2 linked regions of the Rattus norvegicus genome follow. The protein of the gene in region 1 purifies or fractionates together with the protein of each later gene. This does not show direct contact. Links are inferred from orthologs where the notes say so. Each region holds a gene or a part of one and is shown on either strand. Other genes may lie near its edges.

What was found.
Region 2: the proteins of Gipc1 (region 1) and Sh3bp4 purify together in Homo sapiens (affinity purification with mass spectrometry; 4 studies listed by BioGRID and IntAct, with this or other methods). This does not show direct contact. The link is inferred for Rattus norvegicus from reciprocal best matches to the Homo sapiens genes GIPC1 and SH3BP4.

Annotation. Positions count from the first base shown.
Region 1 is NC_086037.1:41,380,699-41,385,772, reverse strand, and holds the start of Gipc1 (PDZ domain-containing protein GIPC1), read left to right. Parts: upstream 1-1,830; 5' UTR 1,831-1,868; coding exon 1,869-2,156; intron 2,157-2,847; coding exon 2,848-3,033; intron 3,034-3,127; coding exon 3,128-3,308; intron 3,309-3,945; coding exon 3,946-4,058; intron 4,059-4,790; coding exon 4,791-4,872; intron 4,873-4,973; coding exon 4,974-5,074. UniProt on the Homo sapiens protein: May be involved in G protein-linked signaling.
Region 2 is NC_086027.1:97,183,830-97,187,984, reverse strand, and holds the end of Sh3bp4 (SH3 domain-binding protein 4), read right to left. Parts: intron 3,957-4,155; coding exon 3,768-3,956; intron 3,092-3,767; coding exon 2,867-3,091; 3' UTR 1,107-2,866; downstream 1-1,106. UniProt on the Homo sapiens protein: May function in transferrin receptor internalization at the plasma membrane through a cargo-specific control of clathrin-mediated endocytosis.

The DNA.
Region 1 (5,074 bases):
CACTCTCTTTCAGACCACCACAACTTCAGTTCCTAAAGACCCATGCAGCCCAACATTGCCACAGGCCAGCCATTGCTTGTCTAGGGGCAGTACTGCTCTGAGGATTTCACCCCGGTAACTAAGTTTCCATGAGGATGCATCGCCCGCCTCTTCCTGCCACAACTCATTGGCAGAACCAGTCATCTGCCAGCCCTGTCCCAAGGGGCGTGGCAGGGACCATGCACTCTGTGCTGTGAGGGAGAGACTCAGAAGAGTTTTGTTTCCTGTGTGTGTGGTATATGTGCGCGTCAGATGTGTGTGGAAGCTGGCTGGAGGATAGCCTCAGGTCTCATGCCTCGGGAGCTGTCCACTTTGGGGTGCTGTTTACTACTGCATTTGCTTGTGTACATACGTGTTTGTTTGTGTGTAAGTACACATAGCCCAGTGCACATGTAAAGGTCAGACGACAGCTTGCAAGAGTGCGCACTCTCCCTTCATTGGGCCCAGGTGATTAAACTCAGGCCTGCAGGGGTGATGGCCATCTTGCCAGCCCTCCACCTTGCGTTTTGAGACAGGATTTCTCACTGGCCTGAGCTCACTAGGTAGGCTAGGTGGGCTTTGAGCCTTGGGGGTCCTTCTCTCTCCAGCTCTGTAAGATGCTCTTACAAGGGCATCTTTCCTCATGGTTTTTTGTTTGTTTGTTTGTTTGTTTTTTTCTTTTACATAAACCAGACCCAAACTTGGGTTTTGCACAGAGCATTAATGACTGCAACTGATAGAAAATGAAAAGACACTGTGTCTGGTGGTTTCCATCTGCTCCAACACTGCAAGATGAACAGAGGTAGAGTTGGTGAGTTCTAGGCCAGCCTGGACGACAGAGTGAGAGCCTTCTCAGAGAAATGGAAAGTAAAGGGCCATCCAGCATTTTATCTTCCCTTCAGTTGTCTGCTCCAGTGGGTGTGGTCAGGGCAGGATGCACCAACGGCCTCATGCCTCATCCAGAAGGAGAATTGAACGAGGTCACAGAGCAGCGGGTGTGGGGTTGTAATGGGTATCTCTGTGGGGATTATTACTGTGCAGTGCGAGGCTTCATTCTGATGCTGGGATGAGACCGGGTCCTCATTAGCACGTGCTCCACCACTGAGCTGCACCCCAGCATCGGAGCTATCTGGAGTCACCTCTCTTCGTTCACATCAGCTCTGGGTGCCCAGATTGAATCCACTGTATACAGAAAATACTTGGGTGAGGCAGATGTCCTGCTATTTCCCTGTAATCCCATCCACTCTGCAGTCTGAAGCAGGAGGATTGCAAGTTCAAGGACAGCTGAGCAACTGAGAGATAACTGCCTCACACTAAAAAGTAAGAGGCAGTCTAGACTTGTAGCTTGGGTCCACATGCACAAGGCCAAAATGGCCGATTCGGAGAGAGCCTTGTACCTATGCTGACCATGGACAGAATCTTGTGTTGTTACTCTTCAGACAATACAGCGGAAGAAGAGTTTGCATAGCTTTAAATGTGTACAGCAGATTCCACTGTACGGGAGGAGCTGCAGCTCTGTGGACAAGCGCCAGCCAAGCAGGGGCGATGAAAGCCTCAGCAGAACGCAAACGCAACACAACGTTATATAGGCCGCAATGTGCTGGAGGTGTCCTGGCTCCCTGTGCTTGGGAGCCTGAGTCACGTGATCAGACACGGTGGGGTTCGGTGGTGGAGCACTTGACTAGCACCAGGCCCCTGGGTTAAGAAACATTGCTTCGCAAAATAGAACCATGTTGGTTGATGTCGATACCATGTGGTGGTGATGGATGGCACCCAAGGCTGGTACTCAGAGAGTGAAGCCCGATTCCCTTTCGCAGGTCTCCCGGCCAAGTCCCCACTTCTGGCTGCTCATGCCACTGGGACTGGGGCGAAGGAAAAAAGCACCACCTCTGGTGGAAAATGAGGAGGCGGAGCCAAGCCGGAGTGGGCTGGGCGTCGGGGAGCCCGGGCCCCTGGGTGGAAGTGGAGCAGGGGAATCCCAGATGGGTTTGCCCCCACCTCCTGCTTCCCTCCGGCCTCGCCTCGTGTTCCATACCCAGCTGGCCCACGGCAGCCCCACGGGCCGCATCGAGGGCTTCACTAATGTCAAGGAGCTGTACGGCAAGATCGCTGAGGCCTTCCGACTACCGGCTGCTGAGGTACCAGTGGGACCACGGTCCCTTAAGAGCAAGCCACAGGCCTGGGCATGTATTCCTGTGAGCTGGGGCTCGTGTTCCTTGCTGGCCAGCAGCCCCTGAACCTAGGAGGCGTGGCTACAGGAGGATACTGAGTTCCTATGAGGCCTTGAGAGACTTGTACCCTAGTAGGTATGGGGGGGGTTTCCCAACGGGCCTTACGAGGCTCGTAATCTAGTAAATTGTGGGTCTGCAGATACTGATTTCCCATCAGGTCTGAAGTAGCCTGTGTCCTGGAGGATGACAGCCACAGGTGGCAGCTGGGTTTCCAAGGCATTGGGAAGCTTGTGCCCCAAATACTGTGGGACCTCAAGAGGGGGAGGGAGGGTGTTAGGAGCAGCTTCTATTTCTCCAGGGTGCCCTGGAGGCATGACTCCAAGCTAGAAGCTGAGAAGCCACTGGGAGGGCAACAGTGGGACTGAGATTCAAGTGGAGATGGGTAGGAAGGCTGGGTGGGAGTCTAGACCCCCTTCACCCCTCAGTAAGTATCGAGTGATCTCTGTATGTCAAGCTAGCTCTTGAGCTTTTACCAGGACAGAAATCCTGCTCATAGCATTTGATGTGCCAGTGGACCTCTCCTTGGCTTTGGGTGTTACCAGTCCCTGGGATAGGGGACCCAGGGAGGAAGGATGAGCATCTTGCCCCACCTCTGCAGGTGATGTTCTGTACCCTCAACACCCATAAAGTGGATATGGACAAGCTGCTGGGGGGCCAGATCGGGCTGGAGGACTTCATCTTTGCCCATGTCAAGGGGCAGCGCAAAGAGGTGGAAGTATTCAAGTCTGAGGATGCTCTGGGGCTCACCATCACCGACAACGGGGCCGGCTATGCCTTCATTAAGGTGCCCGGGTGGGTGGCACACCCTTAGTCAGTGGCCAGGGTCTTTAATGGGACCTAGAGTGGAGCTTCCAGGGTTGATGCCTGCCCCTCCACAGCGCATCAAGGAAGGCAGTGTGATTGACCACATCCAGCTCATCAGCGTGGGTGACATGATTGAAGCCATCAACGGGCAGAGCCTGCTGGGCTGTCGGCATTATGAGGTTGCCAGGCTCCTCAAAGAGCTGCCCCGAGGCCGCACCTTCACCCTCAAACTCACCGAACCTCGGAAGGCGTTTGGTGAGCCATTCTTGCAACCTGGACCACCCACCGGGCTGACCTTGAGCTCTTAAGAAATACAGATTGTAGTCCTGGGAACCACCAGCAGGTGGCACTCAAGCCTGCAGTGCAGAGTGGGGGCAGCCCCACCCTACCCTAGAACTGAGTGCTGGCTGACAGCCCAGCCAGAAGGAAGTCGCCCCCACACCCGACTTCCAGGAGCCATTAGCCCAGCCGAGTGCCCCCAACCCTGGCCAGCCCCCTCAGCCTGGAGAAGTGAGGCTTGGCTGCCTTGTATGGCTCCTGTGCCCGGCGCCCCCCCCCCCCCCCCGTTTCTACCTGGCTTCACTAACTCTCAGGAATGGGCCTGAGGCACCCCTGATGTGGGTAGAAAGGGCTTATCTGAGACTCAGCAGTTACACTCACCCTTCTCAACCCTCACTCCTTCAAATAGAAGCTACCTTCCATTCTCTCTCCAGCTGCTTTTATGTCTGGCCCCTAGCTGCCCCTCACCATCCATGCAAAGTCCTGCCTTGCTGGAACCCAGTCCCTACCCAAGGAGCCTGCAGAACTTTGAAGGTGGTGGGAGGTGGTTGTGTGAAGCCTGCGTACTGTGTTACCGTGGGCTGATTTTCCCCACTACCTTTGCCTTCTACAGATATGATCAGCCAGCGTTCATCAGGTGGTCACCCTGGCTCAGGCCCACAACTGGGCACTGGCCGAGGGACCCTCCGGCTCCGATCCCGGGGCCCTGCCACAGTGGAGGATCTGGTGAGTGAGCCCCCCGGGCCGGTGACACCATTCTAATTATGTGAAAGGCTCAGGACACCTCTCTCTGCCTAAGCCTACTCTTACCAGCTCTGGGACCTACGGTGGTCCATCGGGCAGCCTGGGGTCTCCTCCCTGTCCAGTAGGTTCAGTGACTTCTTGTCAGAGCAGACATTAGCGATGTAAACAAAAAGGGCTGCCAGCACGGAATTTCTGGCAGGAGGATTTCACATTCGCTCAAACCGTAAGACCTTGTCACCAGGTTCTTATATGAAAATAGATGAAAGGCAGCCCAGTGTAGATACGTACCCATAATCCTCTCCAGGCTACTGGATAGGAGTTAAGTGTTCAAAGCCAGTTTGGGCAACTTAGAATATGTCTGGGTATGAGAATGGTAATTTCTGGATGTTGGGACTGAAGAGATGGGCTTAGCAGTTTATAGGAGGTGTGGCTCTTGCAGACCACACAGGTCAGTTCCAAGTGCCCATGACGGGTGGCCATCTCTTAACTCCAGTCCAGAGGTCCAGTGTTCTCTTCTGACCTCCACAGACACCAGGCAGACACATAGGACACACAGATATGTGCAGACAAAAGGATCCTCTACATTAAATAAGTAACAGCGGCAGCCACACCAGTGGGTGCATGCAGCTCACCACTGGAGCTGATGCCTGCATGCTGTCCCCAGCACTGACATCTGTTGACATTACTGTACTGTCTTGTCCCCACCCTCTACAGCCGTCAGCTTTTGAGGAAAAGGCCATTGAAAAGGTGGATGACTTGCTAGAGAGCTACATGGGGATCAGAGACACAGAGCTGGGTGAGTGGGGCACCCGTGCCTGGAAGGTGGGAGCAGGCTTCCAGGTCCCACCCAGGCGGAGTTGAGCTACATCGTGCCTCCGTCTTTCTCCTCCCTGACAGCTGCCACGATGGTGGAGCTGGGGAAAGACAAAAGGAACCCAGACGAACTGGCAGAAGCTCTGGATGAACGGCTCGGTGACTTCGCATTCCCAGATGAATTC
Region 2 (4,155 bases), on another chromosome or scaffold:
GGCCAAAGAGGCCATCTACTTCATGGCCAGGTTAAAAGCAAACCAAACCAAAATCCCAAAACAACAACCAAAGGGAGGAGTTCGTCTCCCAGTGCTCATCGAGGGCACACTTCCGTGTCCTAGCTTCCTCCTATCAGGTCCTACCTTTTAAAGGTTCCACCCCCATCCCCCAACAGTGACCTGCTGAGGACCAAGCCTTTAACTCCAGGGCCTGTGGGGGACATTCGAGATCCAGGAAGGAGTAGTCAGAATTAACGTAGACATAGACAATGGAGGGGGTTGAGCTCACAGGGCTCTGGGCCATCTGACAAGCCTAGACCATTCAGAGGCTTAGCTTCTCAATGCTACCCATGTGTCAACCCTATAGACACAGTTCCCAGGTCTGGCCTGTTTTTGGTCCAGCTGGGACTTGGCCTTCAACTACCAAATAGGCAAAAACTTATCAAATCATCCTAAATCGAGAACAGGTTTATCTGGACTAAACCAGGGGTTGATGTCCAGGACTAATTGGCCTGTCCTGAGCTGTCCAATTGAAGACACCCTCTCAGACAGACTCTTGATGAGCCCAGCTCCTCCCCACTACCTCTAGCTGGGTTTGGTCCCCAGGACCAGTGCCTACACTCACTCCTTGCTCCACTTTTCCTGACAACGGGAAGTGTAACCAGGGCAAGGCCTCCATTGCTTGCTGCTTTCAGCAGGCCCCAGAGATGCCAAGCACACTCAGAAACGGCTGGGTCTTGTACTCTGTGAAGGGGGATGATGGTACCAGTTCCTACCTGGTGGTAGGAACCAGGAACAAGGAGACATCTGCCTCCTTCATTTGGGTGCCCTGGGTAACACTGACGCCTACCTGGTTGTCATGAATGATTACACTACCCACTCAGGAACAATTAAGTTAACAGCTAGAGAAAACGTCCCCTATATATTAACTGCCACACTGTCAGAGTGACTGACAGGAACCTATTCGCTGACTGACTTTATGCTAGGTTTTATTTAAAGTCTGGCTGGGCACAGAAAGACACACACACACACACACACACACACACACACACACACACACACACGCACGCACACACACACTAACCAGTTCAAATATCCAAATAAAATTTACCGCAACTTTTGTAGAATTTAATTTGTGCTACAAGACTTGTTGCATAGGAAACTATTCAAAGCCCCTGAGGAAAAATATCCATGGTTTAAGGTGCGACTGGTTTTGTTTCTTCTTTGGGGGAAAAAGGCCAAAAGAGATGCTCTCTGGACAAAATGAAGGTACAGCGTGACAGGCCTTCGTTACTGCGGTGACCAGGGGGTCCTGTGACTTCGTTCTTGCAGCACTAATGCCCACTGTTTACTTCTGAGTCGGGGTCTGCAGGTGCCGCTTCAGAAGCTATAGACATTTCAGCTCAGTGCGGAGGCTGTACACCGGTCATCAGCCCGCGCTTGCAAAGCAGATGGCGGGTCTGGAACTGGCCCTGTAAACAGACAGCTCGAGTTTTTCCCATTACCAGGGTCACTTAACTGCTGGTCTTTCTGGTATGTGTTCTACTCTCTGTTTCCTCCACAAATGCCACGGCTTCTGTGTGAGCCTGGAAGTCAACATCACCTTGATGTTCAATATAATCGTCTGCAAGCTCCCAGCTTTCCAGAGAGCATCACTCAGGGAAAACGTTCCCCCTGCTAACATTTATACAACTACACTATCCCCTTGTACTGTTATCCTAAGGAGATGTGGGCGCACCAGGAAGGAGGAGGTTAAACGTGAGAGATCAGGTATGGAGTTTGGCAATGGCAGATGACACCTCTACATGCCAGCATGTGATGTCACCTGAAAAGTCACCAGGTGACCGTGGTGGACTTGGGAAGAGCCAGGGGCCACCAGGTTCTGGCTGGGTGCTAGGGCGTCCCTCCCACCTATAGCAGAGGTGGGACTGCCCTGAGGGAGGCAGCATTCAATGGCCCAGAGTGGCAGGGACCACCTTGCTCTCGGGGCATTGTTCTTCAGACTGGTTACTGCAAATAACCAAACACACAGGGGTGACAGGGACCCCCAACTCCAGCTGATTTCTTATTTGTTGGAAGAATCTCAATGGTACCGAGCTACCGTGCAGGGACTTTGCAGTTCACCGAAGCACACAGAGCAACATGCTGTGTGGATGGCCGCTGAGGACAGCAAGAAAGGAGGGAAGGTGGGCAGCCTCAGGGCCACCTACTGAAAGCCACCAGGCCCACAAACTTGCCTTCTCACAGGTGACTAGTGGAACATGTCTGCATGAAGCCAGTATCGTTCCCACTTTGAATGTCAAAATGCAAGATATGTCTGGGACTCAGAAAACACCCATGGCCTTAACATATCCATATACACCTGGGACATAATTTACAAAGGCCTTTAAAGAACACATAGACCTCAACAGCATTTGCTTTTACTAAGGTGGATTTTTTTTAAATAACCTTTACAGTCCATTAAAAAATTAGATACCGCCTTTCTCACGTTCTCTCTAAGTCTTCTGTTAAAAAAAGTGATTTTAAATTTAAAGTACATTTCAACATATAGAAAGCAACACAATTGGCAACTGGAAGTAGAAAGCCCCCTGGGACCTGCCCCTGGATAAAGGGGAGGGGAAGAGAGTCAAAGTCCTCAGTCCCTCCTGGGCATGGCTGGTAGATGGGCCTGGACCTGAGCGGCCATCCCTCCCTGCACCACCGGGTGATGGCATGGGCGCCCCCTGTGGACAGATGATGGGTGGAGTCTCAGCCCTGGTAGGCGGAGTCCCAGCACTAGTGGGCGGAGTCTCAGCAGTAGTAGGAGGAGTCCCAGTACTACTGGGTGGAGCCCCAGCCCTGGTGAGCAGTAGGGCAGGGGCCCTGCTCAGATCACAAAGTCATCATGGTCCGCGGGGCTGAAGGCAGCTGCCCTCAGGATGTCCAGTGAGTTCACCAGGATCAGTGTCCCCGTGAGGTGCTTCCAGCGCCTGGTGATGGGGTTCTTCATCTTGTCCAGGCCTATGTGCAGCTCTTGGATGACATCTCGGTAGCTGTCCCCAATCTGGTGGCTCCAGGTGAGTAAAAAGTCATAGGCGGGTTTCCACATGGCCTGGGTGATTCGGGGAGCAGAAACATGGAAAAAGGAAGAGAGAAAAGTCAGGATGGTGAGGTCCCTCAGTCACTCCTGTAACAGCAGCAGGGGGAGCTGCTATGGCCTGCACTGGGGGAAGGGTGGTGTCCTCCTGTGTCTGAGTCACAGGATGGACTTCTCCTGCCTTATAGCACCGCTTTCACCTGAGCCGTGTATCAGAAAGTGCCCATGCAAAGGAAGCACACACTCATGCTCAGGACTTGCTGCTTCCCTGTCTGGTGAGTCTGAATCAGCTTTCCAGGGTCACCTCCACAAACAGGTAGTGTCGGGCATGGGCATGACTTCAGCACACCCACCTTTGTCTAAGTTAGGTAACATAGCAGGGATTCAGCCAATAGAGTGGACCCCCCAGGGCTCTGTTAATATACTCATTGATCTTACAGGAGGTCATTTAAAAGTAAAATTAGTAAGAGAGGGCAGCGCGCACTTCCCAGATGGTGGCAGAGCAGCCCTGATCCCTCTACACCAGGCTCTGAAGACAGGCTTACGGCTCCCGCCGTATTGGGCAAACTCACTTCACCTCAGCCTGCCCTGCCAGAGTGCTATGAAGTAGATATTTTACTGTTGTATCCCATTGGTCCTAGGATAGACTGAGGGGCAAGGAAAGTAACCAAGGGGTTGGAGCCCCACTCACCTCACTGTCTACCACCCCATTCCTGTCTCGGTGAGGAGACTCATAGGCATCCATCTGTTGCTTGGAGACCTTGGCTAGCTTCTCGGCCAGTTCCCTCCAGCGCTGTGCCACTTCGACGGCTGTGGTCAGGAGCACAAAGTCCTGGATGAGTCTGACCACCAGGCCCTGACAGTCCATTTTCAGCAAAGCCTGGGAAGATGAAATGCAGCATGAGGCCAGGGATGGCTTGGCTCTGGGGGACAGTCAACCTGTTGATGATGCTCTTTTGCCTAAGAGTTCTAAGGCCTGTGGAGCGTACAGGCCCCCTGCCCAGCACTGTGCATGTGCAAGAGGAGCCTTACAGGGCTTTTGGGATATAACATGAACAATGGTAAGGTCACAGTGGCAG